Elephas maximus indicus: one gene and its partners. The protein of the gene in region 3 interacts with the protein of the main gene of each other region in a biochemical or structural test. Links are inferred from orthologs where the notes say so. Each region holds a gene or a part of one and is shown on either strand. Other genes may lie near its edges.

Region 1 (8,452 bases), on a different chromosome or scaffold from region 3:
ATTTCTACATTCAACATAAAAAAGTTAAAAAAAAAACTAAGGGGAATTCTCAAATTGAAATCATAGAATTAATAAAAAAAAAAATAGGTCTTTAGACAGAAGAGGTCTTTAGACCCCTACTCCTACTCGAACATAAAAATATTTCAAAATCTCACTGTCTGATTTTCCTCCTGAACATATGAAACTATTGTCAACAAGTATAATGCAAAGCTCAATTCAAGTTTTATTGAACTACTTATACTCAGTGTTTATACCAAGAGACTGAAATGAATTTCAACCCCAATTGCCAAAGAAGTTAGAAAAATCATCGTATTTTAAAAAGACAGGGAATCAACACTTAATTATAAAGGAAATAATTACTTTTATATGTGGGATGAGCCAAAAGCTTTCTGGCTAATGAAAGTCATTAAAAAAAAAAAAAAGGTTATGCAAACTAGTCTATTATATCATATACTGTGCAATTTATAATCCGCCCCTTAAACAAAGAGGAGAAAAAAACCTAGGTTATAAAACACAAAAACTAAGCATGGATTTATTCAGTCCCTGAATTCTATCTGCCTCCACTTTAGTTCTCTTATTTTGTGTCAAAAGACCATACCAAACAACTTCTATGTGTTATCTTAACAGTGGCTGCCCTTATACTATATTCATAGCTTTTTTTTTTCCACCTTAGTTCTCTTATTTTGTGTCAGAAGACCATACCAAACAACTTCTATGTGTTATCTTAACAGTGGCTGCCCTTATACTATATTCATAGCTCAATGAGAAGACCAGAATGCTGATATTTACTAAATCATTTATTGCATCCAAAGAGTTATGTATCATGAGTATAGGTAAAACTAATTTCTCACATTTGCCTTCAAAGAATTTTTCCAGTTAAGTTTTTGTCCAATGTGCATAGAAATAGAAAACTGTAAAGGAATATAACTCTTGTAAAACTAAGTTACATGTACAAGTGCACACAAAAAACTATCACAGTCACAATCTCCTTTTGTTTCAATACTGCCATGGTAAAGTCTATTTTTTTTTCTTAGTTTTTATTTATTTTCAGGGGAGGGAGCGACATCCAAGTAATAAATGAACTGTAGTTTTAAACAAATAATCTCACAAAAAAGTACCAAATCACTTCAGATAATGAACCAAAACTAAGATTTCCACTGTCAAATTAGTCTCACAAGAAACACAAACCTAAGTTACACACTCTTTAAAATACTCACAACAAGGGTCAGGGAATTCTACAGGGCAAAGGGTGACCATCACAAAACCATTTCCAGCAACTCAAAATACACCATCAAGACTTTGTGCTTTGTATACGTTAGCCAGATTAAAAAAAAAAAAAAAGATTATAGCTGTCATATTTATTTGAATTTCCTTTAACATAAAAAACCCCAGCTGCGAAAAAAGGGTCAGGCCACGAATCGCTCCTCTGAGTTACACTGCACGTATGTATCGTACTGCATAAGCCCCACAGGTCTGTCTTAGCTGAGCCGACAGCTCTGTACAAAACCCCCAAAAAAACCCTGGAATTCGGCAGTCGGCCGACGCAGCTGCACAGAGCAGGAAGCACCGCACCCGCGCCGCGCTCCCGAACCACGCCGGAGGAACTGCGGGGAGCAGTCACCACCGCTTTGAAATTGAACGGCTGACACATCCGGTCGGGTCTCTTACACCACTCAGCCAAATGCAAACTTCAAAGACCAAATTCAAACTCCAAACCGAAGTCGCTCTAGTCTTCTCCGTGCAGTTCGCATTCCCAAGTACTCTCGGAGCCCCTTTGGGGGGGACGCAATTAGAAAACCCCAATTTCGAAAAGACTGCAAGTCCCACGAGTTTGCAGTCTATCTGTCCGCACCGCTTTGACAGGCGTTACCGAGCCGTCCCCCGGGAATCCCCTACTGCCGGCTCTTGGGGCGCGCCGCGGCATCCGGGCCCGGCCCCCGATACCTGCCTCAGGACTCGAGCTCCAGGCGGGCGGAGGGGCTCGGCCTGTCACGGCCGCAGAGACCTCGTCGCTTTCTCTTCTGTCCTCTCGCCCTCGCCCCGGCCTCCGGTTGGGGCTCCCCACCCACCCCGCCCCTTTGCCGACCACCGCCCGCCGGCCGGCTCCGGCCTCGCCCCCCGTCCCCGAGACTCCGTTCCTGGCGCGCCGCCACCTGGTTGCCCCCTGCCCCCTGGGTCCGGCCCCAAATTGCCCTGAGGGCAGCGCCGGGGTCTCAAGCCCCGGCTCCTCGGAGAGCACGGATTCCCAGAGCCCCAGAGCTAGCCAGGGCCTCCACACCTTTTCGCAACGGGTCCCGCAGACGGGTTGGCACGTCTGTCACATGTCTACAAACAATAACAAACTCCCCGGCACTTCCCCGCCCCGGGACCCCGTCCAACCCCTAGGCCGGGTCCGGGGCGCCGCCCGACGCCGGGAGGAGGTCTGAGAGGGTGCCCGGGGGGTGCGGGGGTTCGGACCCCGGCAAGCGGCGCGCAGTATCCCAGAACGCGGCCCCAGGACGCTGCGCACGGTACCCGGGGTTCATTCATTGCCCTCTGCCTACAACCAAAGTTCTCTCCGCGCCCCCGGCGGTGCTACTCACCCGGTGGGGGCCGCTGCAGGAGACGGCTCGGCGGCGGACGCTCGCTTCTCCCCGGGCTCGGCCCCTGCGAGGTTCGGGGCGCCGCTGTCCGAAGCGGCCACTAGCTCTGCAGGCTGGGCGCCGCAGCGGCTCACGGCTCCGTGGGGCGGCGGCACCGCCAGAGGCTGGAAACCGCTCCCGCCCGCTGCCGAGTCCGCGGGCTCCGGCGACGGGGAAGTTGAGGAGGACGGCGGAGAAGCGGCGAGGAAGATCGGCGGCTCGGGCAGCCGGTCCAGCTCCACACTCCGCACTTTGCGCAGCTGCCGCCGCCGCCACTCCGCCCGCTCGCGGCCCCCGCTGCCCGCCTCCCGCAGGAGCCCCGCGGCTGCCGCGGGCACGCTGCTCGCCTTCAGGGGCCCTCTGCCGCCGCCCGCCTCGGGGCTCACCGCCCCGGCGCCCGGGAATCCCGACGACGAGGCGCGATTCCCCGCCGCCGCCGCCATTTTCTCTCGCGGGCTACATTCGCTCGGCCCCCGAGAGGGAGGGAGGGGGCGGGGAGAGCGCAGGGGGCGGGCGGACCGGCGGGCGCTGCGCCGCCAGCGTAGAACTGCCTGCGCCAACTGCGTGAGCGTGGCCCGCCGGGCTCTGCCCGGGACAGACGGGCGGGCGGGGGCGCGGGGTTTGGCCGGAGGCGGAGGGCGGGTCGGCGGGGGCGGCGGCGCAGCAGGTTGGGGGGAGTGGGCTGCGCGCTCGGCGGGGCGGGCGGGCCGGCGCCGTGGACTCGGACGTGGCGGCGGTGGAACTTCCTGGACTCTGCGTGCTGCGCCCGCCGCGCCGCCAGGTAGTCGCGGGCCTCACCGGCCACAGGAGGTGCCGGAGTGGCAGCATCGCGCCGCTTCGTGTCTGCTGCAATCTCGGCTCGGCCCACCGGGAGCTCGCCCTACTGAAGTTGCAGCTTCCGAAATAAATAATTAGTTGGAATGTGTGCGTGTGATGCGTGGAAGGGGATGTTGGGGAGGAGATTTGCAGTCTTGTCATTCACACTGCCCTTTGCAGTGGCGTCGGGAGACCCGGGCGCGGGCCAAGCCCCATCCTGCCCGCTCCGCGCGCGACGCGCAGGTGGCGCCGGGGGTGTTGCCTGCTGCAAAGCGAAAGAAACCCAACGTTCAGTGGACGTGCTGCTGCGGACCAAAAACAAAGTTTTTTTTTGAAGAAATTTTTCCTCTTCTTTTGTCCCCCGCCCCTCGTGCTACAAATAATCAAAACTTCAAAGTTTCTTGGAATACCGTGTTTACATCCTGAAGTCGTTGGTTTCAGACAGCCCTTGTCTCCCCAGTACCACTTGGCTATGGAGACACATGGATGTCCTGAGGAGCTTTGTTTTTTCCTCGGCTCTGACTTTGGAAAGGGCACAGAACCAGATAGAGCACCTTTGGGGAAGGAACCTACGCTGTGCAGGAAGTGCTCGATAATGTCATCCTCAGCCTGGCCCTGGCCCTCCCCAAACCCGACGCCCCTCGCTGCACGTCCCTCTTCCTGGCGGGGTCGGGCGATGGTCCCAGGTGCCTCCACCCCCACCCCCATCCCCATCCCCCGCAGTACCCGGTTGCCAAACGCGGTGTTTTGAACCCCTGGATCCCTGGGGAGCTGCTGGATGGGTCTAGCAACAGTAACATCCCTGGGGAGAGTCTGCCGTAAGGTGCTTTGGGATAGAAAAAGGTTCATTTGCATGTTAATGATTTTCGACCTTTGTTCAGCCGGGTAGAGTTGTGTTGCGTTTCTCTTAAGTTGGTTTGTCTGTGATGGGAAATCTCCCAGAAGACAGGAGCAGCGTCTCTAGGTATATTTTGAGAAACACTAAATAATGGTAATTTATTTTAATGCGGGGGGAGGGGGCTTCCCACGCAGAGAAAGGAGAGAGCTATCTTGTCTGTCTTCATAATATTTAGACGAAAGCCTGAACTATGCATGGCCTGGACTGAACTATCCATGTAATAATTCCTTTCATTTCTTGATACAATTAAAACCCCCTTTCTAGGTATGTTACCTGAGGAGCAAGGTGATAGTGGAGGGAGTTTTTAAGGGTCTTGATTTCATATTAGTTCACTGTTTTTAATACTGGTACAACACCTGCCATCAGACAGTTTTAGATAATTACATCCAACGGTACAAATTTTGAAAGTTTAGATAAATCTGTTAAAATTTTAAGTCTACGTTTAGCCTATAATTATATGCTCTTTTAACGATAGCCAAGTGTATCATCCAAACCAAACAGTAGTTACTTCCCTGATCTTCCCGGATTGCCACACCCACTAAATTGAAAAGAATAAACTTTCCACTTCCCTATTTAGATCTAAAAACCTTTACATTTACACACACACACACACACACACACGCACGCACACACACACGGTCAGGTACCTGTGAGAAAAGTTCGGTGGAGCCAGGAACCTTTCAAAATAGGAACAATTTTGAAGCTTGATCAGAGTAGCTAAAATAAAACAGGATTCCAGCAGACTTTGCCTTTGCCCACTAATTCATCCAAAGGGATTCAAACTTGGGACCAAAGACAGATGGGAACAAAAACAGCACTATCAGTCAGCTACATTCTCTGACCTCCTCTATCCACCATACACTGCCACTAGAAACCTGAGAGCTGGATAGTTTTTGGCATTTTGAGTAATTTTCCCCTTAATCTTTTATGTAAATATTCGGATTGCCATTATGCATCTACACACCGGCCTGCTGATTTCTCGCTCTCGCTCTCGCTCTTTTTTTTTTTTCTTTAAGAGAGAAAACTAACCAAAGGACATGCTCGATTGGAAAAGAGTGTTCTCCTTCGGCGGAAAGTTAATATAAAATCTTCTTCGCGGAGAATCCAGCTGCAAGGAATTATTACCGTAGTTTCTGAGTCTTAAGCACGGATAAGATTGTAAATGCTAGTTTTGGTGCTGCTGTGTCATGTTTTTTTTATTACTGCAGAGATTCATATGTCAAATATCAAGCTAATGTATACTCTGAATTGCTTTAATTTGATTTCTTTAATGACTTAACGGAGACTCAGGTCTCTTCAAAGGTCGCTTCTGGAACTGAAAACTCCAGTTACTGTTTTCAAGCTCCTTATTTCCATCTTCACTGGAGGATACAAACCTTGCCGTGATTTCATTTATGCCACGACAGTTTCTGTAGCCTTTATGTGAGTGCTTTACAGATCACTGCTTTCACATAGTGCTTCTGGGAATCACCTAAGTCACACTTCAGTTGCTACATCATGTTCATTTGGAGAAACCAGTTTAATATTGGTGTATTTCCTCGTTGTACACAAATATCACTAACATTAGAATGAAGAGACTTAGTATGCAATGGCAGAAATATATCAGCTTGTATTTCATTCATCATATATTTATTAAGCACCTGATATTCACATGCAAGGAGTTTTCTCCTCTAAGGATATTGTTTGTTGTTTTTCATATTTACAAAAAAATAATTAAATATTCCCATCTATAATTGTTTTTATTAGTGGGTATTTATTGGACTGATTCTGATTTAGAATTTAAGATCCATCAGTGTGTATACACGTATTCACACTTGCGTGAGTTATAAAAAAAAATCTTAGATGGCTATAAAAAGTAAGAATGTAACCTTGAGAATAGGACAAAAGCTGGTGTTCCTCCAGGCTTTATAAATATTTATTAGGGAGCAGGAGAGCTGGGGTTAGATCTTGGTTTTGCCATGTTCTTCCCAGATACCACATTTGCCAGGTGTTTCCAGATGTTTTAGTCAGGAAACTGCTATCTGTGGATTACTGGTTCCACTACAAGGGCACTGCAGGTGACATAATTGTAGAAAGTTTTTAACTAGCCTCTACTTACCTGACTCATCAGTAACAGTTGCTTGTCGTTCTCTGTGTATGACATGCTGAGGAATGCCACTGCACAATGAATGTTCATGGTCAGTGGCTGGTGTGCACCTGCCCACTTCTGCTCCCGGCAGGTGAATTATGGTCCCTGGGAGAGTCTGTTGTGTTTATTCTCGAACCTGATTATACCTATCATAACTTTGCTTAGGAAATTTAATTAAATATTATTAAACGGATTATTAAATTAATGCAACATGAGTATGTAAGTGCAAAAAGAAAACTGTACCAATAAAAATTAAGTTAAATATTTTGAAAGAATGAATGAAGGCCAGTCATTGAAAAAAATATCTTCAAGTTAGTTGCAGTTGTGATGATTGTAAAAAAGTGGGAAAAAAGCATTCAAATCTAAAAAAAAAAATTACTTTGCAGGTATTTTTCAGTTCTCACTTTAAAGAAACTGAAACTGGAAACTGTAGGCAATGCAATATGTGAGCAAGATAAATAGAACAGTGGACCCACACTCAAAAGACCAAGGCCCTAGAGTCGAATACTTGGAAAAAACAAAAACCCCAAACCAAACCAAAGGAAAGCCTTTATATGTTTTAAGCTTAAGTAAAGTATTTTAAATAAATATATGTTTTTATGATTCCCTTTTATTAAACAACCATCTAAACATTTTGCATTTATTTGCATGTACTTGAAATTAGAAACTAAATTTTGTAGTAAATAAGTAAAACAGTTGAATTGGGATTTTATATTAACAAATAAAACCACAATTTATTAAGATTGCTCTGTCTAATATTAGCAAAAATCTGCTTATCTTTACAACTCTGCTCTAATTTTTTCAATTCTTTGAATGAGCCACGTTGATTGCTGTTTTTTGATATATGACAAGATATTCTTTGTTGGTTTGACCTTTGTGGCTTAATCATGACTATAATCTGTGCAAAAATATTCAAAGACCTCAGACATTTTCTCAAGGACCTCCTATAATATTCGAATTACTCTCTTTGGATTAGCGTCCTTGCCAGTTTTATCTTCCTTTATGATTCACTGAATCCTATGTAGACAAGGCTTTGTTTGTGAACCAAGCGGTTCAGTACCACTTCCATTGGCTTTGTGAACTTTTGTGGCTTAATTATGACTATAATTTTTGCATAAATATTCAAAGACAGCATACATTTTCTCAAGGATCTCCTTAATATTCAAATTGCTACCTTCTGCAACGTTTGCATTTTCACTTTGCAATTGATTTATGTTGTTCTGAGGCCAAAATACCTGAAAAGGTGTACAAAATTGTCATCTACCAGAGCAGTGCTGTCTGGTAGAAGTAAAATGTGAGCCACATATGTAATTTAAATTTTCTAGTAGTCACAGTCAAAAAAAAAAAAAAAAGCAGGTGAAATTAATTTTAATAATGTATTTTATTTTACATAATATATCCAAAATATTATCATTTACTTTGTAATCAATATAAAATATTAATAACATTATTTTACTCTTTTTTTTTGTATTAGGCATTTGAAATATGGTGTACATTTCATACTTACACCACATCTCAATTTGTTCTAGCCACACTTCAAGTGCTAGAAGTCACACATACCGTATTGGATAGCATAGCCCTACAGCCATAGTGCCTAAGACCTATGGGTTTTATATACTGTGAAAATGCCTGATTAGACCAGATGAATGTATAATAAAAAAATCCATGTGTACATGTTCAGGAAATAGAAAAAAATATATATATATACATTAGTAACTTATGAGTAAATTACTTCTTCTACTTCTGGTAGCTAACCTTTCAAATAAATTCTAGCCACCATTGCCAGAGTTAGTGTTTAAGCTATGATTCTGATCGTATCTTCTCTCTTCAAACTCTTTAGTGATTCCACATTATATAGTGTATAAAATCCAAATTCTTTAAACAAATATTATTTTATCCCCCAGGGATGGAAGAATAAAATAAAGATGTGTAATTCATAAGTTTTTCACAAAATTTTCTAGGTTTTATTTCCACAAATTATGTGGTTAT
Region 2 (7,287 bases), on a different chromosome or scaffold from region 3:
TAACATCCTATGTTGTTGCTCTCTTCTTACAGTGTTTAGTTTCATTTACCCCTAACACTGACTCCTACCTTGACAGCACAATAAAATCTACATTCCTTATCATGATATCAAGACCTTGGGTTACCTAGTGGCTCCCTCCCTCTTGGACCTTTTTCCTTCCACTGTTCCCTTAATTTCTAACACTCCAACCAGCTGACTGCACCTCAAATAGCTCTTTCCTGACTTTTGGCCTTTTTGTGGAAAAGACCCTCCCCCTTCTTACCTCTTACTCATTCTTCAGTTCTTACTCATTCTTCATTTTTCAGAAAGACCATCTTTGAATTTTTGTATCCATGAGAATCTTGGGGGGTGAGATCTGGTCCAAACTGCCAAAATGTACTCGTTTATGTGACTCAGCTGTCTAGGGCCAGAGTGATTTCAGGCACTGCTTGATCCAGGGCCCAAATGATTTGACCAGGACTGTTTCTACCCTTTTTTCCCACCTGTTATTTTTCTCTCTCAAAGGACCCAGCACTCTTTCATCATAGCACATAATGATATTAGTTTAGTTGCTTAATTTCTGTCTCTTCCAGGGGACTGTAAAGTCTTAGGAGAGAAGCTTTCTCTGTTTGGTTTACTCCTGTATATCCACATGTAGTTTTCTTTACTTCAACAATTATGCCTGACACACTTAGTGATTTAAATAAAGGGTCTGAAATAGTGTGTCAAGCAACTTAGCCAGAGAAAGGAATGAACTACATGGAGCAGTGAGGGCCCCACACAGGCTGGTGAATTTAGGATGCATGGCTCTCAAACTTCGGGACCTCTGGAAGTGGGAGTGCATTTTCACAAGCTCCCAGATGATTCTGCTTTTAATGCTTCTTGAACCACACCTTTTAGAAACGGTACCAAAGTGGCATACCCATCTGCAGCTCTGTCTGTTTTTTTTTTTAATAGCTCTCTGCTGACCCTGCTACTGGCATGTAGGTGGTGAATAGTTGAGTTGATGAAGTACTGGAGGGTTGTGAAAGGACAGAGAGGAATGTGAACTAACCGTATTGCCAAGGTTGTGATAATGTGATAAGGATGGAAATGCTTGCAGGAGGGTTTGGAAAACCAATGAGGAAGTGGAAGAACAGAGGTATCTAGGAGTTGTCAGAACAAGTTGCCTAGGAAGCTCCTTTGAACTGGCTGCCACGGCGAGTGATGTTAGAAGTCAGGCTGTTGAATTTGTTCTTTTGGAAGTAGAACAGTTTTTCAGGATAATGTTTTCATTAATCATCAGTTTAAGGTCTTTAATAGGCATCTCAAATTTAGTATGTCCAAACAAATTACTGATCTGCCTTCCACCAAACCTGTGCACCCACTTCTTCACCTTTTCAGTAGATGGCAACTCCATCTTACCAGTTGCTTAGGCCTTGGCATTATCCTTGACTCCTCTCTGTCACACCTGACATCTAACCCTTTGGCAAATCCCATTGGCTCTACCATCAAAATCCCTAATCCAATAATTTCTCATTACCTCAAGTGTGGCCTGAGCCTCCATCATCTCTCACCAGAACTATTACAATAGCCTCTGCACTGGACTTCCTACTTCCACACTAGCTCTCCTTATCCTCAGTTAAATTCTTCACTCAATAACTAGATAATCCATTCCCGTCGAGCTGATTGCTACTCATAGCAACCCTAGAGGACAGACTAGAACTGCCCCATAGGGTTTCCAAGGAATGGCTGGTGGATTCAAACTGCTGTCCTGGTTAGCAGGCGTAGCACTTAACCACTGTGCCACAATAACCAGATGGGCCACTTTAAACCCAAGTCAGTTCATGTCCCTCCTCTGCTCAAAACCTCACCATGGCCTTGTAGGCTCTACTGAATCCCACCCCCTTTACCTCTCAGATCTTACCTCTTACTGCGGTCCCACTTCACTTATTCTCCTCAGCCACGCTGGCCTCTTTGTTGTGCCTCAGACACAACAAAGCACCTTTGCATTTGCTGTCCCTTCTGTCTGGAATACTCATCGTCCATATGTCCACACGATTCACTTCTTCACTTCCTTTAAGTCTTTGCTCAAATGCTTCTCAATGAAGCCGTCCTTGAACACTCTAAAACTGCATCCCCTATTTCTGCACTCATCTTCTCTCATTAATTTTTTCATTGTACTTACAGCCATCTGACATACTGTATATTTTATTCCATCATTTGTCTCTCTTAACAAGAATCTGAGCTTCACAAGGCTGGGATTTTTGTTGTGTTCACTGCTGTCTCCCCAGTGCCTATAATTACCTGGATACAGTAGGCATCCAATAAATGTTAATTAATGAGGTCCAGATGATGGCCAGGCATCTCTGCAGAGGAACAGGTCAGGTGGTAGGACCTATCTGGTGATAGGTCAGGTACCACATGACCTGTGTAAGTCATCCAGGATGTAGTTCGTGAAGTGATGAGAAATGGTCATTGTCATAATCATATATAGGGCCCACCTTGCCCTTTTTTGTTTCTCTTCTACAGGCTCAGCGACAGCCTTACCAAGGACTCCATGAATATCAAGGCCCATATTCATATGTTGCTAGAGGTGAGAGCAGCTTAGCCCATGCCCAGACTCACCACTAAATGTGTTTAGGGTGACAAATCAAGGAAGAGAGCCAGAGAAGGGAAGGACCATCTTTCCTGCCAATCTGGAGCCAGACCTACTCTGAGGGAGGGGAGGTCAGAGTAAGCTAGGGTGGGGCCTAGACCCAGTATCTGTTTAAACTCTTCTGTCCTCTTTTTCAGGGGCTTAGAGAGCTACAAGGCCTGCACAGTCTCCCAGAGAAGCCTCATCACTGACTTCAGCTGCCCTCCCCCAACATTAAAGAGCCTGAATGCCTTTGAGTCCCTTGGCCTTTTTTTTCCCCCTTAACCCCTGCTGATTGCCGAAGTGCCCTGTTTCTAAAGCACACAGTTACTAAGAGGCCCAGAGCTCCAGACTCTTCTAAAACGCCCAGAAATCCCGCCTCCAGCCTGTTGACGGCCAGCGTTTGCCACTTGCCTTTACGCTCTACCCACTCTTCTGTTGCCTTGGCAACCTGGCCTCCCACTTCACCCAGTCCTTTTCCTGTACCTCACCTTTCCAATTGCCATAAAGAATGGGCCAATTCAGGGTGGGAATTTGCCCAGGCTGATCCCTGGGCAATCAGCCTTTCACTCCTGCCCCTAAGGTTTACCCTCCTCCCACGCCCCGACAGTTTCTCTGGTACACTAATTACACCCACGCCCCATTCAGCCCAACTTCGGCCTCGCTGCTGCTTCTAAATGCTTCCAGCTTCTGCCAACAGGCCCAGAGCCGGGCCTAGTCCCCCCCACTTCTAACTCCAGCCCCTCTTTTAGGTTGAGCTGGGTTTTCGCCAATCAACGCAGGGCTAGATTCCACCCCTTTACAACTGGCTGCATCATAGGCCTTTAGTTTCTGCCACTCAGCGATCCTTCGCGTGTCTCGCAGCCCTCCGACCCTCCTACTTCCGCTCTGTGCTAAATTAGTCTCTTCTAACCAATCATCATAGAGTTACCCTGCCCGCCCACGCAGAGCCAGGGCCCGACCCCCTCCCGGTCAGCTGCTACTCCCACTTCTATTAAAGTCCTGCTTCCGCTTAGCGTGGAGTGCAGCACCACCCCGTTGCTGTTTTGGCAGCTGTCTAGGAGTCTGTCATCCGCCAATCCTCTTCACCCACCCTCCACCCTCGGAAGTTGTCTGTCTTCCATCAATCCCATTTAGGCCAATCACTGCTGGGCTAGCCCGCCAGAACTTTGTTAACTGCCCACGGTCTAGCAGTCCTTCTTGAGCCAATCAGCGCTGAGCACCGCAGGCCTAACACACTCCCTCCGGACCTGGGCGGTTGTCCGCGGGCTAGCGGTTCTCTTTGGACCAATCACAGTATAGCTCTGCGGGGCAGGACCTACCTCCTCACCCCAAGTAGCGCATTGGATCCGTGCTGCTTGGGCCAATCAGCTAGCGGCGGGGCTCTGAGCTCCACCTCTACCGGCCCACGTGAGCGGTGGGGAAACGCAGGGTCGGCTTCTAGGTGGTGCCGCCGCCGCCGCCGCCGCCGCCGCCGCCGCCGCCGCCGCCGCCGCCGCCGCCGCCGCCGCCGCCGCCGCCCCTCCCCGCCGCCACCGCCGCCGCCGCCTCGGAGCCCGGGCCTGGGGGGCGGTGGGGCCGTGCATGGAGCCCCCGCCCCCCGGAGCTGCCAACGCCGCCACGGTGCTGCGCACAGGTGAGCCCTGGACCTGGAGGGTTGGGGGACCACCCGTGAACACACGTATCCTTCCCGCCCCTGCGCGGGGGATGTGCTTTAGCCCGTGGCCTGATGGTGTTCGAGTCCTCACCACTACCACCACGGCTGGTGGACCTGCCTGTAGTATTGTTCGCTTCCTTTGCCCCTTGTAGTGGATCTGACCGTGGCCTAACCTCTCTCCCCCATTTTATAATGGATCGGTCTGCGTGTTTGTCTTTCTCCCCACCGCAACTTACAGTGGACCCGTTCGTGGTCTTGCCCCCACCCCCACTTATAGGGGACAAGTCTGTGGCATTTTCCAACCATATAGTAGGTGAATCCGAGTGCTTGTATTTCACCTATACTCAATTGTCAGGGGACCCATCTATGGCCTTGTTTATTCCACCCCTCCTGTTCCTTGTGAATCAATCCGTAGTGTTGTACCCCCCACCCCTCTTTAATAGTGAGTCAGTCTGTGAGTTTGTATTCTTGCCTTCTCCAGTCCCCCAAAGCATCAGCCCATGGCTTTATCCCCCCTTTTCATTTTATGGTGGATTAGTTTATATGCTTGTATACACATCTCAGTAGTCATCAGTCCGTTGTCTTCTCTCACTTTTTTGCAGACCTTAAGTAGGAGGGCTTCTCTCTTCTTTTTAATAGTAAGTTAAACTAGTACTTTATACATCCCCTCTTCCAGTATCCCAGTCCATGGCCTTGTCGCTCTCTCCTTTTAGTCAGTCTGTGTGATGGTTTTTCTCCCCCTCCATTGTAGGGCATCAGTCAATGAGCTTTTTTGCTTCCTTTCTCCCATTAGAGGAGTATGGCCATATCTCCTCTCCTTTGTGGTGGATTTGTCCAGTGGCCTTCCTGCTATCTGTGTGCTTGCATTCATACATCGTTGCCCCACATACCCTCCCATGAGTTCGATGCTTTGTAACCCCTTTCCCAAAGGGTTCAACCTGTGTGCTTTTATTTCCCCCCTCCTTTCCTTGTGGATCAGTCTGTGGCCTTCCCTGCCCCCAACTTTAATATTGTTATCATCCTGTGTGTTTGTTGAACCCAGATCTTTTTTACTCTAGATAACAGCCCCTTACACACACTTTTTTGTGCTTTAAGTGAAAGTTTACAAATCAAGTCAGTCTCTCATATAAAAACATATACACACCTTGCTATGTTCTCCTAGCTGCTCTCCCCCTAATATGAGCACACTCCTCCTCTCCACCCTGTATTCCCCGTGTCCATTCAACCAGCTCCTGTCCCCTTCTTCCTTCTCATCTCGCCTCCAGACAGGAGCTGCCCACATAGTCTCGTGTCTACTTGAGCCAAGAAGCTCACTCCTCGCCAGTATCATTTTCTGTCTTATAGTCCAATCCAATCCCTGTCTGAAGAGTTGGCTTTGGGAATGGTTCCAGTCTTGGGCTAACAGCGGGTCCAGGGACCATGACCTCCAGGGTCCCTCCAGTCTCATTCAGACCATTATGTCTGTCTGGTCCTTTTATGAGAATTTGAGATCTGCATCCCACATCTCTCCTGCTCCATCAGGGATTCACCGTTGTATTCCTTTTCAGGGCAGTCATCGGTCACACACACTCTTTAACCACCAAGACATTCTGCCTTACTACAATAAATGAATACATTAATGATAGTGATGATAATAATACCAATAGAAACTGATATTGATTGAGCACATATGGTACCAGGCATGCTTTTTAAGTGTTTTACATTAATGAACTCATTTAATCCTCACCACAGCCCTGTGAGATAAATATTATCATTATCCCCATTTCACAGTTGAGGAAACTGAGGCATAGGGAGGTTAAACACCTTACTCAAAGGTTGCCCAGTAAGTACCAGGTTAGGCTGCCTCTCAGGGCACAGGATACTTTTTGAGGCTCCCTTCCCTTACCTCATCCCACTCCGCAGAGCCCACTCCATAAAAACCAAATTAGTTCCCATCTCCAAACTTATGTTCTTGCTGTCTTCTCTGCCTGTGGATCTGTCTCCATCTACACCTTGCCTCAGCACCCACCCACCCCCAATCCCAGAAGCTATGTGACCTTAGATTAGTGATTTAGCCACTTTCTTTCTGCACCTGTTTCTCATTTGTAGCATGGGGGAATCAGAACTAGACCCTCTCCAGTATATATAAAGAATACCTGTGAGTTAATAAAACAAGTTACCTCTCTGGCCTCACCTCATACACTTACACCCTCTCACAAACCCTGCTTCAGCTACACTGGCCTCCTCCTCACTGGTCCTCAAACACACCAGGCCTCTGCACTGGCTGTTTTCTCTGCTGAGAACGCACTACCCCCAGATACCTGCATGGCTCCATTCAGGCCTCTGTTCAAATGTCAATCTCTCAATGAGGCCCTCCCTGACTATCTTGTTTAAAAGAGATACCCTGGAACCACACACACGGCAGGGCTCAAGCCCCTTTTCTGCTTTATTTGTCCTTTTGCCCTTTATCACTCTCTAACACACTGTATAATTTACTAGTTTATTGTGCTTATTGTCTGTCTCTCCCCTTTAGAATGGGAGTACTGTGAGGGCTTAAAATGTTTATGTGTTTATTAACAGGAGCGTCTCCAGCACCTAAAAATGTACCTGGTATGCAGTAGGTGCTTCATAAGAATTTGTTGCATGAATGGATGAAAAAAATAAAATTGAGACAAATCAGGGTGGGGGACAGATGGAGATAAAGAGAAGATAAGAGAGTTAGTTAAAAGAGCTAGTTAGTTGGAATTGATCATTCAACAAACTACTGAGTACCAGGCACTCTTCTAGGTAGAACAAAATAGGCAGAAACTCCTACCCTTGTGGAGCAGACATTTAGTTGGGGAGACAGACTATATAAATAAATAAATAAATATTTTTATATATATATATATATATAAACAAGTAAAATTCGATAGTATATTAGACAAGTGCTAAAGAAAAAAAGTGAAGTAGGGATGGTAGAAACGGAGTACTGGGTGGTTGGAATCTTAGGGTGGCCAGGGCAGGTCTCACTTGGAAGGTGACATAAAATGGGGGGGATGGGAAGAAAAAGGAT
Region 3 (7,973 bases):
TGATGTATCACTTCTTGTGGGCCTTTAATGCCATGGTCTTGTAGCTCCTGCTCAGATGATTGGGTGGGATTGTGCAAGTAGGGTAATTGTGGCCCTCCAAGGGGATTAGTCAGTTATGTCATCCCAGCGGGCCTGAAATGAGCCATCTCAGGGGTGGGAAGGAGAAGATCCCCTTACGAAAGAAAGAAAAACAGCCAAGAGCGGAGCTCATCCTTTTGACCTGGGATCTCTGCTCTGAGAAGCTCCTGGAACCAGGAGACTAAGAGAGAGACAGAGAGAGATGTAAAACTGAAGATGGCGAGATGCAGTGGCAAAGAAACGGTGTGGCAGGAGAGACCAGCAGGAGAGGGCACAGTGGGCTCCCTAGCCCACAGAGCAAGAAAGCTGAGTGCCTTTGGGCAGGAGGCTTGCTGGCAGAGTAGGGAGCCTCTGGGCACTTATTGGCAGAGCTAAAAGAACTTTGTAACACTTGCCCCAGCAGGGTAGAGGCCGAGGGTGAGAGAGAGACCTGCCTGTGAGCATAGATGGGAAGAGGCTGTCTTGATGGAAGAGCTGTATCCTGATTGTTCCTGAACCTGAGTTGTAACCTATTACTTACCTAATAAACCCCATAATCATGAGTACCGTCCATGAGTTCAGTGTCGCCATTGCAGTGAGTTACCAAGCTCAGCAGAGAAGTAGAGAGTGCCGTGGGAGGGACAGTTGGTGTTAGAATTGGTAAGGATAGTGGATACAGGAGCCATGTCTGATCTCCATCTCATAGGAATCAGCCTTGGGCTGTTGATCTTGATTCTCCTTCCCTCTTGTGAAGTTAGAGGAGGTCAGATGCCACTTGCACATCAATTTTGCAGTGGGCATGCACTAAATATTTATGAGAAAAATGAAGGAAGGAGATAAAGAAGGCTGTGAGGGAGGGACTCCCTGGGTAGTATTAACAGTTAATGTGCTCAGCTGCTAATTGAAAGGTTGGCGGTTCAAGTCCACCTATCGGCTCCTTGGAAGACAGGTCTAGCAATCTACTTCTGAAAAGTCTGCCACTGAAAACCCTATGGAGCAATCAAAATAAATGGTATCACTAAGAAGTGCTCAGGAGAGAAGGATGTTTGTACTAAAAAAATTGACATATATAATTTGGCAACACCAACAATGACCAAAAAATGAGTGTATGGTCACATATGTATGTGTGTAGGCATACAGGTGTATTAGTAGGTACAGGTGTATACATATATGTGTACAGATAGTAGTAGCTATATAAAAAAAAGTAAAGGTATATATGTGCAGGCATATATATTCATATAGGACTCAATTACAGACACCTTTCAGACATAGACAAACACCTTAAAGAGATTGGTTTTCTTGGTTTGAAGGCTTAGGACCTTAGTGTGACAGGACAACTCAGTCAATTGGCATAACATAGTTCACAAAGTTCATGTTCAGCATCCTAGTGAGGTGAGTAGCATCTTAAAAGCTTGCAAAAAGCTATCTAAGACACAGTTATTGGTCTCTACTCATCACGAACAAAGAGAAAGAAAGAAACCAAAGTCTCAGAGAAGAAACTAGTCTATAGGGCTAATAGTTTTCACTACCCACGGCCTCCTTTACCCTGAAACAAGAACCAGATGGTGTTCAGCTACTGCTGCTGACCATTCTGATATGGGCCACAATAGATGAACCCTGATAGATAAGGAGAAAAACACGAAACAGAACTCTAATTCTTAAGAAGTCCATACCTGTTGGACTAATTGAGACCAGAGAAATCCCTGAGACTATTGCCCTGAGACACTTTTCAAATCTTGAATTGAAATGATCCCGAGGCCGCCTTTTAGCTAAATAACAGAGCAGCACGCAAAATAAAGGATATCAGCCACTCAGCTGTCAGATTGTTGTGCTGTGGTGGCTTGCGTGTTGCTGTGATGCTAGAAGCTGTGCCACCAGTATTTCAAATACCAGCAGGGTCACCCATGGTGGACAGGCTTCAGCGGAGCTTCCAGACTAAGACAGACTAGAAGGAAGGACCTGGCAGCCTACTTCTGAAAAAACTGGCCAGTGGAAACCTTATGAATAGCAGCAGAACATTGTCTGATATAGTGCCAGAAGATGAGCCACTCAGGTTGGAAGGCACCCGAAAGACAACTGGGGAAGAACTGTCTCCTCAAAGTAGAGTTAACCTTAACGATGTGGATGGAGTCAAGCTTTCGCTGACGTGGCACTACTCAAAATAAGAAGCAGCAGCGGACACACTGGCTGCAACAATGGGCTTAAACATAGCAGTGATCGGGGAGGATGGTGCAGGACCAGGCAGCGGTTCGTATTTTGTACATAGGGTCGCTATGAGTCAGAACCAAATCGGTGGCACCTAACAGCAACAACAACAAGCCATGAGTACAGTCCTCTTAAAAAAAAAAATCTAAAGGTCAACAATTACTCTAAAGCAAAGATGAGAGGACAAGGGGGCTGGGAAAATAGAGTACCAGAAATGGAACAAACAGCGCAGTGAAAGAGAATGTTGACTCCTTGTGAAAAACGTAACCAATGTCTCTGAACAAACTGAATAGAAATTGTCAAGTGGGTACCTAATTTACTGTGTAAACTTTCACCAAAAACAATATTATTAAAACAGAACAACCTTATGCAGCACAGTTCTACTCTGACACACATGGGGTTGGAATGTGTCAGAATCAACTCGAGGGCAACTGTTGAGGGAGGAAGAAAATGAAGAAACAATGAATGAAGGAATGAATGTTCACATTTATGTACCATTTCAGAATCACTTGAAATAGGTCAACCCAACATGTAATGAGAAGATAGACTATCAGCAGTCACTCATACTCTTCGATGAATATTTATGCGTTCAATATTCAAGTAACTCATTTACTTCTAATTATGAACATTTGAGAACTTAGGTACATCTGATCCAAACCATGATATTTTTGATCAGCTCATACGCATTTGAAAGCTGGACAATGAATAAGGAAGACTGAAGAAAAATTGATGCCTTTGAATTATGGCGTTGGTGAAAATATTGAATATACATACCATGGACTACCAGAAGGACAAACAAACCTGTCCTGGAAGAAGTACAGCCAAAATGCTTCTTAGAAGCAAGGACGGCAAGACTTGTACTTAGGATGTGTTATCAGGAGGGATCAGTCCCTGGAGAAGGGCATCAAGATCCTCAATGAGATGGACTGAGACAGTAGCTGCAAAGATGGCTCGAACATAACAACGATTGTGAAAATGGCGCAGGACCAGGCAGTGTTTCTTTCTGTTGTACACAGGGTCGTTCTGAGTCAGAACCAACTCGGCACCTAACAACAACATGAACATAACTGCTCTTCTTCGAAATCATGGAAAATACCTAAAGTATAGAAGAGAAACAAATCATCTTTCATTCCAAATCCAGTGGTTAGTCTGCTAAAATAATTTGGCATATTTCTTTCCAGGTTTGTTTCTATGTATGTGTAGTACATAAGTGGGACCATTCTGTACATATATATAGACATACAGACTTGGGGCCCTGGTGGTGCAGTGGGTAAGGATTTGGCTGGTAAATATAAAAGTTGGCAGCTCGAATTCACCAGTAGCTCCTTAGAAACCCTCCCTATAAATCAGTTCCACTCTGTCGTATAGGGTCGCAATGAGTCAGAATCGACTCGAGGGTAAGGGTTATATGGTGTGGACTTGTATCTTGCTTCTTTCTCTTAAGGACAGATTATGAACATTCCCCATGTCATTAAGAATTCCTTGAACACGTGGCTTTCAGGTTGCTAAAATGCCTTCCGCTACATGGATGTGGCGCTCTGGGGGCCGGTGGTTAACAGCTATGGCGAACTAAAGCTGCTGACCAAGAGGTCGGCAGTTCGAATCCACCAGCCGCTCCCTGGGAACTCTGGTAATTTAAATATCTTTCTACCAATTTTTGGATATTTAAGGGCTTGCCAATTTAACACTACCGTTTGCTGCCTAATTTCGTGTCACGCTTTGTGGGGCCCCAAATCGGGTAATATGACTTGCTAGACCCGGGTAGGTGCCTCAGAATGGTACGTATTGTCCGTGCCTGGGTGGGGGTGCCTGCTTGAGGTGCGGGTTTGGTCTGAGCGCGCCTGACCTTCAAGCCCGGCCGGAAGCTTTTTCTCAGACTAGCTGACAGCCCCAGGCAGATGCCGAGCGCTGGGAACCGACGCCTCCACGTGCCCCGCGCAGGGTCCCGCCCCTCCGGCCGCCGCCACGCCCCTCGGTCCCCCGGCCGTCCTCTCCCGCAGCTCCATTTCCAGGCGGCCTCCGCGAGCGCGCCTTCCCCGGAATAGCCCCGCCCCCGGGCCGCAGCCACGCCCCTCAGTCCCTAGGCCATCCTCTCCCTCAGCTCCACGCCTTCCCCGGGAGTAGCCCCGCCCCCGGGCCGCAGCCACGCCCCTCAGTCCCCAGGCCGTCCTCTCCCGCAGCTCCATTTCCAGGCGGTCTCCGCGAGCGCGCCCTCCCCGGAGTAGCCCCGCCCCCGGGCCGCAGCCACGCCCCTCAGTCCCCAGGCCGTCCTCTCCCGCAGCTCCATTTCCAGGCGGTCTCCGCGAGTGCGCCCTCCCCGGAGTAGCCCCGCCCCCGGGCCGCAGCCACGCCCCTCAGTCCCCCGGCCGTTCTCTCCCGCAGCTCCATTTCCAGGCGGCCGCCGCGAGCGCGCCCTCCCCGGAGTAGCCCCGCCCCCGGGCCGCAGCCACGCCCCTCAGTCCCCCGGCCGTTCTCTCCCGCAGCTCCATTTCCAGGCGGCCGCCGCGAGCGCGCCCTCCCCGGAGTAGCCCCGCCCCCGGGCCGCGGGCTCCACCCCCAGAATCCGGGCCCCGGGCCGCTCCGGCCCCGCGGGCCGCTCGGGAGGCGCGGGGGCGGGCCCTACGCGATGACGTGCGCGGGCCTGCGCGGTGGAGGCTCGCGTCCCTGTTACTCAGCGGAGCGGTGGCGGCCGGACTACGCGGCCCGGTGGCGGAGCCGCGAGCTTCGCTGGGGAACGGCCGCGGCCGCTGCGGGACGGCGCCTGTCCCCGCCGGCGGCTCCGTTGTCCTCGTCCGCGCCTCTGCCGGGTGAGTGCGGCGGGCGCCTCGGGGCCGGGGCGAGCGGGCGGCCGGGCGGACGGCCCTCGGTGTTTGTTATTGTGCGGCTGCCGCGCCGCCTTCTCCTCAGCCCGACCCCCTCCCGGCAGTGGGGGCGGGGGCGCGGCGGGCGGCGGGCGGCGCGGGAACAATAGCGGTCGGGAGGCGGCGGCCGGGCCGGGGCGGGGTGCAGGCGGGCCCGAGCGGCGCCCCGAGCGGCCCTGACGGACCCCGAGCGGCGCCCCGAGCGGCGCCCCGCCTGACCCCGAGCGGCCCCGGCTGCCTCCCCACGGGGCCTGCGGGGGCGCGCGGCGCTCTTTGTGCGGACGCTCTGGGCGGGCGCGGGCGGCCGCGCGGGAAGGGCCTCCAGCTCTGGGCGCCCGGCGGAGGGCGGTGGTCTCCCGAGGTGGGCTTGCGGTCCGCGGTCGGCGCGTCTCCCCGGAGGGGCGCCCCGTGGGGGCCCCGGGCTTTTCTCCCCACCCTCGTCCCTTTGTCTGCGGCTGTGTCCCCGACCCGTGGGGGCAGGGCCGAGTCCGTCTGAACGTATCTGACGGGCGCCTTTCGTCTGAGTCGCGAAAAACTCCCGGTCAGACCTGCCCCGCGGGTCCCTGCCGCGTCGCCCGCGCGCTCCGACGGTGCCCGGGGTCGCTCCGTGTCCGCCTCTGGGCGCCGCGCCGGGGCTCCGGGGAGACTGGACGGCCAGCGCGTTGTCTCCACACGAGCGTCCCGGAGGCGCCTCCTTGGCGGTCCCAGCGTCCGTCTGTCTGTCGTTCATTCATTCACTCAGCTCCTCCCGTGAGCTGTACGCAGATCTGTTTGAAGGTTAGGGGAGGCCCGTGAGTGGTGCGTGTTAAAGAAGAGAGAGTCGTGCTCTGGGCGTTTTTACACATTTTTGTTTTTGTAGTACGGCTGGAACTTCTAATGTCAATAGGTATTAGGAACTGGAGTCAGATTTGCTGTAAGTCTACAACAGATTTTATTTATTTCAGGTTTTATCTCCTAGGGCACTTTGTAATGGTTACCTCAGATTCCCCTGTTACCTTCAAGCCTAGGAGGTCAGATTTCGGAAGTGAACCTGCTTAGTGTTGTCCCCAAGCCAGGAACGTCTTACATCCGTGTCTTCAGAGCCTAGTCTGCAATATAGCAAGTGCCGAATAGTCAGACAGATGAAACGCTCTTTATAATTGGTAGTATTTAAAATTAAGTCTTTGAAAAAAACCCAAAAAACTTCTAATGTTCTCCATAAAGTTCCAGAGGCTTCATGCAAACTGTCACTTCCAGATATCTAATTGATCGGTTCATTCGTATTATCTGTCATGGCAATAGAGGCTTTTGAATCACTCCAGCATCAATTTTTTCCTGTCACTTCTAGGCCATATCCTAAAATAAACCTTGTCTAAAGTATGGTTTTTTAGTGTGATTGATCAAGTAAGGTAGATTGTGTTTTGTGTGTATATGTGTATGTGCAGCACATCCTTTTGTGAATATTATTTGAAAGATTTTCGGTGACTCTAAGTGGAAAAGCTAGGACAGAAGAAACAAGCTGCACAAATGTTTTATTAGGAGTGCCTAATTTATTTCTAATAAATTTTTGTAAATGTTTATTAGAAATGTTTAAATTCCTTGTCCTTACACTTTTGACAGAACATTTGGCTCCCAGTCTCTCTCCAACTAACTAAATACATTCTAGCATAGTTTTGGATATGAAAGGATTTGAGGCGAACTTCTGTTATCCAATGTAGGGTAGAAATGATAAAATTAGAAAATGATACTTTATTAAGATGAGGAATGAAAACTTTGAGATACAAACGTTTACTGCTTTACCTAGTTGAGATTTGTCAGATTCCAGTAAGGGTTACTGATAAAAATCCTTTGGCAGCAGCTCACAGTCAGGCTACATTTAGAATGAAAGTTTTTTGTTTTGTTTTTCTAAATTCTGTTTTTTTAATGGTAGCTTTTTTGAGATATAATTCACCCATACCGTAGAATTGACCCTTTTAGAGTGTACAATTTAGTGGTTTTTTAGTATATTTACAAAGTTGAGTATTGATCACCATGGTTTAATTCCAGAGCGTTTTTATCACCCTAAGAAGTGACCCCATACCCATTGGCAGTCAGTGTCCACTGCCGGCTAAACGCTGTCTTAAAGGAAGAGATAGCACTGACTCTGTTAGTAGGTGTATTCCATTGATGGGTTTGAAAAGGACGCCCTCTACGTGTCCTGGTAGATTAGGAAGCTATATTCTTTCTATTCCTTTACATCCTGGGGGAAATGCCACTTGGAAAGAAAATTGGGGTAAGAATAAATTATACCAAAATTGAAGAGGTTAGAATCTTAAGTATTTGCTTTATACTTAATATTATGGAAATGACCTCGTGGGGATACCCAGTGCACAGTGAAACAACTTGAAGTAATTTGTTGTTAAATGACTAGTCACATAGTATTGTGGTGGTAATTAAGAGTGAATCCAAGCCTGATGCTTGTTAGTCTGCTTTGCCGGCGAGTTGAGTTTTGACATACTTGAGTCATCTGGATGGTTGAGGTGCTTTGTTGCACATGTAGAAGTATAAAAGCATGCTGACCATTGAGAGGCCAGCTCTCTAGGGACCTCTGGTCAGGAGTGGTATGGGTAGTGCCCTTTCTGACTCATATAGTGCAAGGAAGTCTATGACCACACAGCTTTAGATATGAATCGTTGGCCTGTTTCAGTAAGCTGTGATGCTTATTGTCTTAGTCATGAGCTCCTTACCTGAACGTTTAGAAGCTTTGTGTTTTTGCTTGAACGCAGGTTACCTTGAAGTTTGATTTCACAGATGAGTTCTGATTCAACAGAATTTATGACTTAAAAGGTGACCCGCCAAACCCAAACCTGTTGCTGTGGAGTTGACTCTGAC
Region 4 (7,875 bases), on a different chromosome or scaffold from region 3:
GATGGCAGAAGTGTCAAAGAATTCACGAACGTGTTTGAAAACCACCATAAAATCATTGGGCTGCTTCTCTCTGCCTTTATTCACTTGGTGGGTAGAGGGTGGGGACTCACTTTTTCTCTCCTCGAGACCCTTTTTTGGGCATTCAAGAGGAAGCTTAACCCATTGCCGTCCTCGAGTTGATTCTGACTCATAGCAAAGAGGAAGCTTAGACCTGGAGATATAATCACAGAATAGTTATTCAGGCTTTCAAATTAGACACACTTGGAGTTGAATCCTGGCTCTGCTACTTACCAACTCTATGTTTTTGGGTAAATCACTTAATCTTGGGTAAGCCCATTTTAAGGAGCCCTGGTGGCTAGTGGCTAGGGCTTTGAACCAGTTCGCTCTGGTTTGAACCCCTGATGATAATTTGCATTTCTAACAAGTTCCCTGCTGGGAATTCGCATTTCTAATGAGTTCCCAGGAAGTTATACCTAAGAATCTGATTAAAATGTAGATTCAGTATATCTGGAGTGGAAATGCAAATTATCAGCTTGGAACTTCTTAGAAATGCAAATTCTCAGCAGGGAACTTGTTAGAAATACAAATTCTTAGCAAGGGTTCCAGCTGAACAAGCTGATTTGAAGCCCTGCTGGTGGCACAACAGTTAAGCCAGTTAAGCTGTTAAAGGGCCTGGCTGCTAACCAAAAGTTTGATGGTTTGAACTCATCCAGAGGCTCTGCAGAACAAAAACCTGTGAAGATTACAGCCAGAAAAAACTATGAGGCAGTTTACTCTGTCACCTGGGGTCATTATGAGTAGGAATTGACTCACAGCACCCAACAACAAGCCTCATTTTAGTCATCTGTAAAATCACAGTATCCTCCTTTCACTTAAAGCACAATAAAAATTTAAAAAAACAAAAACAGTATCGTCCTTTTGGGGTTACTGTAAGGATTAAATAAATTAATAGGTGTGTTTACATGAGTTAATACATGCTTAAAGCAATGATTAGCACACAGTAAAAAAATACCCCAAAAAGCAAACCTGCTGCCATCAAGTCAGCTCCAACTCATACAGACCCCATAGGGTTTCCAAGGCTGTAAATCTCCATGGAAGCAGGCTGCCACATCTTTCTTCTGGGGATCCACTGGTGGTTTCCAACCATGGACTTTTTTGGTTAGCAGCCGAGCACTTCACCCACTGCGCCACCAGGGCTCGCAGTACACAGTTACACTCCATAAATATTAGCTATTGCTGATACCATTATTCAACTCGTATTTATTAACATATAATTAACTCAGTCTTGCATGAATTCTATGTTAGATACCACATGCTGGGGTTAAGAAAAGGAGCAGTAATTCCATCAAGCTTCCAGGAACCTAAATTAGGGGGAAATGTTATCTACCATGTGGGTAGAGAGTGCAGACTTTGGAGTCAACCAGGCCTGATTCTCATTCTGAGTTTGTCCCTAGTTTCCAGCTGTGTGGCCTTCGATCAATCTTTAACTTTCTAAGCCTTAGTTTCCTCAGTTGTCAATGAGAATTATAATAGCACCCACCTTGCTAGGTTCTTGAAAGGATCAAATGAGATAATCTATGTAAAATGCTTAGCACATTTCCTGGAACATAGTAAATAGTTAATAAATGCTAATTATTAATTTTATTTATCAGGAAGTAGACTCATAAATGAAGACACTGTCATCCAAGGTGGTGAATGCTATACTTGATGTGGAAGCAACCTGCTGAGCAAGTCCAACAGAAGTGATTCACTTTGCCAGGAAGAATCTAGGAAAGCCTAGACAAGGTGGTGTTGGAATGGGGCTTTGAAGGATAAATAAAAGTTTTTCAGGTAAGGAATGAGGGGAGGGAAGGTGTTCCATGTGGAGGAAAGAATATCCATAAAGGCATGGCATTGCAGAAGGTGCTGGCATGTTTGAAGGAAGATAAGTTCAGTGTGGGAGCTTAGGGTGTGTGGGACAGAGGGGATGAGATGGGAAAAGGGGGTTTAGGCCAGGTTTTGTAGGACTTTGTAAGCCAAAACAAGAGGGCGGAAAGAACACTGAGTTCCTACCAGATGCCCAACACTGACTTAGATGTTCTCTCTCTATATATACATACCTTTTTTTTTTTAATCTAATTTGCGTTTTATCCTGTAGGTAATAGAGAACAGTAGAGATTTTTAAGTAGGCTGTGACATGACTGCTTATTTATTTATTTAATTTTTAGGACAATGTCCCTGGCAGCCAGGGGAAGGACAGGCTGGAGTGAGGAGAGAATAGTCAGGAAGCCACAGGGTTGGCCCAAGCGAAACTGCCATCTTTAACCAGGAGGGATTCGGCAGAGGTGTGGAGAAGGCCAGCGGCTAGGCTGTGGAGAGGTTCCAGGGTCAAATGTATAGGCTCAGGGATAGATTTTATGTGTAAATGAGGTAGAGAGGCAGTGAGGAAATGAAAACCAGTTGGTGAGGGGTCAGGGGAGGAGAATAGGGTTTGAGTGAATGGAGCAAAGCTATGAGATCTGGAGTCCAAAAACCAGACTCTGAACCCACCTGGATTAGCTGTGAGTACCTTTGTAGTCTGGAGAACTTTACCCTATCTTGACCTTAGTTTCTTATCAGTGAAACAGGTGCTAATAATATGGCTTCTCCTATCTATCACATGCCGATTGTTGTGAGAAAAAAAAGGGGTAACAAGTGTAAAAGTGCTTTGTAAGCAGTAAATCACTAAATAAATATTAGACCCACCGTTATTAGGGAGGAAGCCCTGGTGACGCAGTGGTTAAGAGCTACAGCTGCTAACCAAAAGGTCAGCAGTTTGAATCCACCAGGCGCTCCTTGGAAATCATATGGGGCAGTTCTACCCTGTCCTATAGAGTTGCTATGAGTCAGAATCCACTGGACGGCAGTGGGTTTTAGTTTTGGTTATTAGGGAGGCACTCAACTGCATGGTATAGCACAGCTGAGAGACAGTTTAGGTGAGGTGGAAGGTGGACGGTTATCTGTCCTGGGGTGGAGAGAAAACAAACAGGGTGCTCAACACATGCTACACACAAGCACAGTGATTTCCACACTGGGCTGGGTCTACAGGAGGGACATGGGAGACTCTCAATCCCATACCTAGTGACCCTATCAGGTGCCCCACAGCTGCTCTCATCTCTCACTTGGATGTACTGAGGTCCAAGAGGTCCAAATCTAGTGTCTTTGAACGGATTTCGGGTAGCTGAGGAACGATGTTAAGTCTGACAAGTAAATGCTACGTGGTGTGTTTTTCTGGGGCTGGAAACCATAGTCTCCATTAGACTCTCAGAGGGTTTGTGACCCCCTCCTAAAGTCAAGAGTCATTGATTTTCTCACCAGAAATTAATAAGAATAGTTACCCTCGGAGAGAGGGGCTGGTGAAAAGGGGAAGGAGGAGATTTTCATTTTCCACTTTCTGAACGGTTTGAACTTTCTAACCATGAGTATGTATTAAAAAACTTAAAAAAATGTGTATTAGTTTCATTTAAAAAAACTGCCACTAGGGGTAGGGGTTATCTGGATGATGAGAAAATGGGCTCTTTTTAGATTTGTGTTTACAAACATAAATACTAATAGTTGCTATTTTAAAGGAAACCCTGGTGGTGTAGTGGTAAGAACTATAGCTGCTAATCAGAGTCGGCAGTTCAAATCCACCAGGCGCTCCTTGGAAACAGTCTGGGGCAGTTTTACTCTGTCCTATAGGATCGTTATGAGTCAGAATCGAATCGACGGCAACGGGTTTTTTGTTATTTTAAAACCCTGTTAGTATCAGCAAAACAAATGCAAAAATCACTCCATTATGCAAAGTTTATCCTCTATTATGACTCCATTATGCGAAACCTACACTTCCTATAAACTACTGGCTTCAATTCAGTAAAACCTGCGTAAGAAGTAGACGGGTGAAAAAAAAAAAAACAAAAAACAGGCAAATTCAGGTATTTCAACTCAGGCATAAAAATGTCAAATACTGAGTATACGTGTCAACCTTCATATATATTGGCGTATGAAGCTTCAAGGAATGGAAAGGAAGACAGGGTTAAATCCACTACCCTCTCCCCACGCACTCTAGTAATTACTCTATTTCCACGTCATGTTTCCGGGTGTGTATGTCCCGACTCAAGCAGAAATTAAGTTCAAAGCAGGCAGGAGTCACCCATGTTCTTTTTGTTATCCGCCAGAAACCCGACTCAGGAGCTGGGCCCCCTGAGGACCTGGCGATACCTGGGGACTGTCTAACTGGCTGAATCGCACGTGGTAAGAGGCTCCCAACCTCGCCTCCACGTGGTGCCAAAGGCCGGGAACAGGGAGAGCGGGCAGGCGGGAGCCGCATCAGGGGCATTTAAAGTGTCTTGACGTCACACACTGCCAGGAACTCAGCTGAGTTTTCAGCAGGACATTCCAGTCATCTTTCCTCCCTCCCCCCGGGCCTCTGTGCCGCTGGCCTCTGCTCTTCCCCGGCTGTTGTGGAGGGAGGAGCACTACGCCCTCCGGAGCAGCCAGCACAGGGGCGTCCCCAGCCTTTACTTGGCTCCGCCCCTTCCCCCAGTGACTCTTTTGATTGGTCGGTGGGTAGGGCTTCGTAGGTACAGTGCGCGCAGCGGAGCCTCTGGATGGCGGAGACAGCTGGCTATCTCATGAATTATGCATAACAGCGTGTCTAAGCCCGGCAGGCGCTGGGCGGGGATTGGCTGGAGGGGCTGTAATTCAGCCGTTTCCGGAGCTGTGGCGGCGTAGGCCCGGAGGAGGAGCCTGGGGTTCCGACGTCGCCACGGAGGGAGCGAGCCCTAACCGGATCCTTGACTAGCACCCCAACTTGGTGTTCTTTCTCCCCGTCTGCTGGGAGAGGCCCCGCGGCCTGAGGGAACCCCGCGGCCCGCACCCCTGCCCAAGCGCAGCCCCGGCCTGTCGGGCCTCAGCCGGAGAAACAGGTGAAGGGGGTGAAGGGTGGGGCCGTCTCCCCAGACGCCCCCAGGCCTGGGGACCCCGGGGACGCGGGAGCGGGTGCGACCTTTTTGGCATGTTTGGGGAAAAACTGGAAACTTCAGTGGGGCGGGGGGAAATGAGGGGACACCTAGCGTCGCTCTGAAGGGACGACTCCCTGGGATGACAGGAGCGGGCCTCTGAAAGGAGAGGGGGCGCTGAAAGGAAGTTTCATTCCTCGGAGAAAAGGGGAGAAGCGGAGGAAGAGTGAGACTGAGCTCGAGAGGGAGGACTGTGGGATGGAGTGGCAGCGGTGAGGGACAGCCCCCCTACTTCCTGCTCCCTGGGACTCTGGGGACGTTCCGGCCACAGGAGAGACTGTCACACCGGCGGAGATCACTGGGGGCGGGGGTGTGGAAAGAGCCTCGTCCCCGCCCCGCTGGCAGGGTCCGGCGGCTCCTGGCTGAGCCACTTCCTCCTTGCCCGGTTCCCGCTCCTTTAGGTGCCAGCTGTAATCCTCCGGAGGTAGGAATAGGTGTCTTCCCCGAGAGCCTGACCGGCTGGTTGGTTGTGGGTAGGATTATTGCATAAGAATCTAGTTTCCTGTAGGGAAATTGACAAGACTTGTACTCTTTCTAAATTCCTTTCCATCTTATTCTAGCTTAAGCCGTGCTTTCCCCCCCTTTTTAAAACAAAACGAAACAAGATAAAACCCCAATCAGGCCAGCCCTAGAGAGAAGTAAACCTCTTTCCCCCTTGGCATTATTCTTTTATAAACACCTGGTAAACACGGCCAGAAGATAAATAATTGAGCCATTGCATTTACTGGATTGTGGTGTTGCTTAATTGCATAGGACAGAATGAACCAATCGACAGTGGTTTCTGTCTCCCAGCCAAGATCTTGGGTAAATGCAGAGGAGAGGAAAGCAAAGACAGGCTGGCCTTGGCGAAGCTATGTGCGCAAACTTTACCTGTGTTTGGGGGTGTGGTTGCCCTTAAATTAGCAAAATTCAAACCCTCGCCCAAGTTGCCTTTTCCATGTTTAGCACACATCACTCTGTTATATCAAGTGGGTGTATGTGTGTTGACATAATCAGTGGTTAGTCACTTTTTTTTATTAAAAAATATAGTTTGTACCTTCTGGTTTTTATTGCATGTGTATGTAAAGGGTGTACTTATTCTGTACATGGATTGTAACTTTTTGGCTGGCTGTGCTAATAAACGTTGGTTTGAATAAGTCAAAATGGTAAATCATCTCCATTTTTATGTGTGAACTTAGACCGTATTGTGATTTGATTCAGCCAATTTTCTATTTTTCTTTATATTAAATATGTCTGTGTTCCCTGAGTCAACACATTGATTTCTTCATTACATATGTCAGACTGGAGTACTAGTAGAAGTTTTGTTCAGATGTTTGCACAGTAGGATGGGAGAGAGAAGTCTGGAATAAAAAAAAAAAAACCTCCGTAGATCTTGGGGGGCTGATCTTAGTCTCTATATCTGTTAGCACACCCACCACAAAGAACCATTAGCAAATTCATGAAAATATGTGTATGTGTATCTTTTGGGAAGGATAGCCATTTAGAAATACCCACAGTTATGACTAGACCCACAAAGGGCTTGTGATAATAGGTCATTCATATAACATTAACCTATTTCGTAAATAAGGAAATTGGGGGCAAATGAACAAGACGCTTGTCCAAGTCAGCAGAGTGCTATAGTGGCAGAACTCATACTTTCTGTATATGTTGTGTTCTTTTTGACTATCAATGGTTAAGTATTAGGTGTTGATTTAGAGTGAATGTAAGCCCTGCTGACATAGTGGTAAAGTGCCACGGCTGCTAACCAAAGGGTCAGCAGTTCGAATCCACCAGGCGCTCCTTGGAAACTCTGTGGGGCAGTTCTACTCTGTCCTGTAGAGTCGCTATGAGTTGGAATCGACTCGACGGCACTGGGTTTGGTTTGGTTTTTGGTAAGCCCTGCTGGGAAAAGTGTCAGTGCAATTCTAACATATATCTGGATGGTGAAATACCTCCAGCAGGCTGTAAGACTCCAAGGAACACAAAGATTCAATAAACAGGTGAAAAAGAAGTACAGATAGGGCTTGCTTAGGTTACTTTTCTAACTGCTATGTCTAACTTGGAAAGTAACTGTTTTTAGTAGGGAAAATGCACCATCAGAACACAGGTATTTGGCTAAGGGAAAGAGATGTTTTCTTAGGGAAAATTTGTTAAGGGAAGGGCAGTTGTGACTTAGATGTCATTTAAACCAGAGTGCTTTGTGGCTTACACTGGTAGTTTGCGTCTCCAGAAAGATGCTTTCTCCTCCCTGCGTCTAAGTGTCTTGACATTCAGGTATGAGATGGGGCAGATGGAGACCATCATTGCAGAAGCTTGAATCCAGCTCCCTTTTAGCTTATGGTTTTCAGAGAGGTGGCATACCAATCCGTCAACAAACATTACTTTGTGAAAGTTGCTGGGAAGAATAAAATGTGTCTTATTCCCAGAATTTGTAATCTACTGGGGTGACTTGATCAGTACTTCAACCATCCAGTGAGACATGTTGTCGTCAAAGAGGTGGTAAGAGCATTGAGCCTGTGCTTTCCAAAAAGGTGGCTATTGTATATAAAAAAAAGCATATAGTACAGATACAGAACATTTCTGTTATTATAGGAAGTTGTATTGGACAGCGCTGCACCAAGCACTACAGTCTTCAGAGGAAGGAGAGGTTATAGGGGCTGAAATTGCCTAGGAAGTCTTCTTGGCAAAGGAGCGATTTGAACTGGGTCTCAAATAATGGGTGGAATTTGGGTAAGTGTAAAGAATTTGGGGTGAGGAGATATGGGGGATATAGTACGAACAAAATCCTGATAGATTTAGGAAGGTAAGTAGGGAAGAAAAAGGCCCTATTTATAAAAGGCTTTGAATGGAAGGCCAAGGAATTTCAGTTCTATCTTTT

The links.
Region 1: of the proteins of MAPK8 (region 3) and MAP3K1, one has a biochemical effect on the other in vitro, tested with the Homo sapiens proteins (3 studies listed by BioGRID, with this or other methods). The link is inferred for Elephas maximus indicus from reciprocal best matches to the Homo sapiens genes MAPK8 and MAP3K1.
Region 2: of the proteins of MAPK8 (region 3) and ELK1, one has a biochemical effect on the other in vitro, tested with the Homo sapiens proteins (3 studies listed by BioGRID). The link is inferred for Elephas maximus indicus from reciprocal best matches to the Homo sapiens genes MAPK8 and ELK1.
Region 4: of the proteins of MAPK8 (region 3) and STAT3, one has a biochemical effect on the other in vitro, tested with the Homo sapiens proteins (2 studies listed by BioGRID). The link is inferred for Elephas maximus indicus from reciprocal best matches to the Homo sapiens genes MAPK8 and STAT3.

Annotation. Positions count from the first base shown.
Region 1 is NC_064820.1:60,717,638-60,726,089, reverse strand, and holds the start of MAP3K1 (mitogen-activated protein kinase kinase kinase 1), read right to left. Parts: upstream 3,101-8,452; 5' UTR 3,065-3,100; coding exon 2,583-3,064; intron 2,577-2,582; exon of another isoform or gene 2,279-2,576; intron 2,056-2,278; exon of another isoform or gene 1,949-2,055; intron 1-1,948. UniProt on the Homo sapiens protein: Component of a protein kinase signal transduction cascade. Activates the ERK and JNK kinase pathways by phosphorylation of MAP2K1 and MAP2K4. May phosphorylate the MAPK8/JNK1 kinase.
Region 2 is NC_064846.1:123,965,123-123,972,409, forward strand, and holds the start of ELK1 (ETS domain-containing protein Elk-1), read left to right. Parts: upstream 1-4,121; 5' UTR 4,122-4,232; intron 4,233-7,287. Other genes in the region: protein UXT, read left to right, coding at 2,491-2,554, 2,755-2,808. UniProt on the Homo sapiens protein: Transcription factor that binds to purine-rich DNA sequences. Forms a ternary complex with SRF and the ETS and SRF motifs of the serum response element (SRE) on the promoter region of immediate early genes such as FOS and IER2.
Region 3 is NC_064834.1:1,515,042-1,523,014, forward strand, and holds the start of MAPK8 (mitogen-activated protein kinase 8), read left to right. Parts: upstream 1-4,881; 5' UTR 4,882-5,069; intron 5,070-7,973. UniProt on the Homo sapiens protein: Serine/threonine-protein kinase involved in various processes such as cell proliferation, differentiation, migration, transformation and programmed cell death.
Region 4 is NC_064837.1:49,311,701-49,319,575, reverse strand, and holds the start of STAT3 (signal transducer and activator of transcription 3), read left to right. Parts: upstream 1-4,695; 5' UTR 4,696-4,925; intron 4,926-7,875. UniProt on the Homo sapiens protein: Signal transducer and transcription activator that mediates cellular responses to interleukins, KITLG/SCF, LEP and other growth factors. Once activated, recruits coactivators, such as NCOA1 or MED1, to the promoter region of the target gene.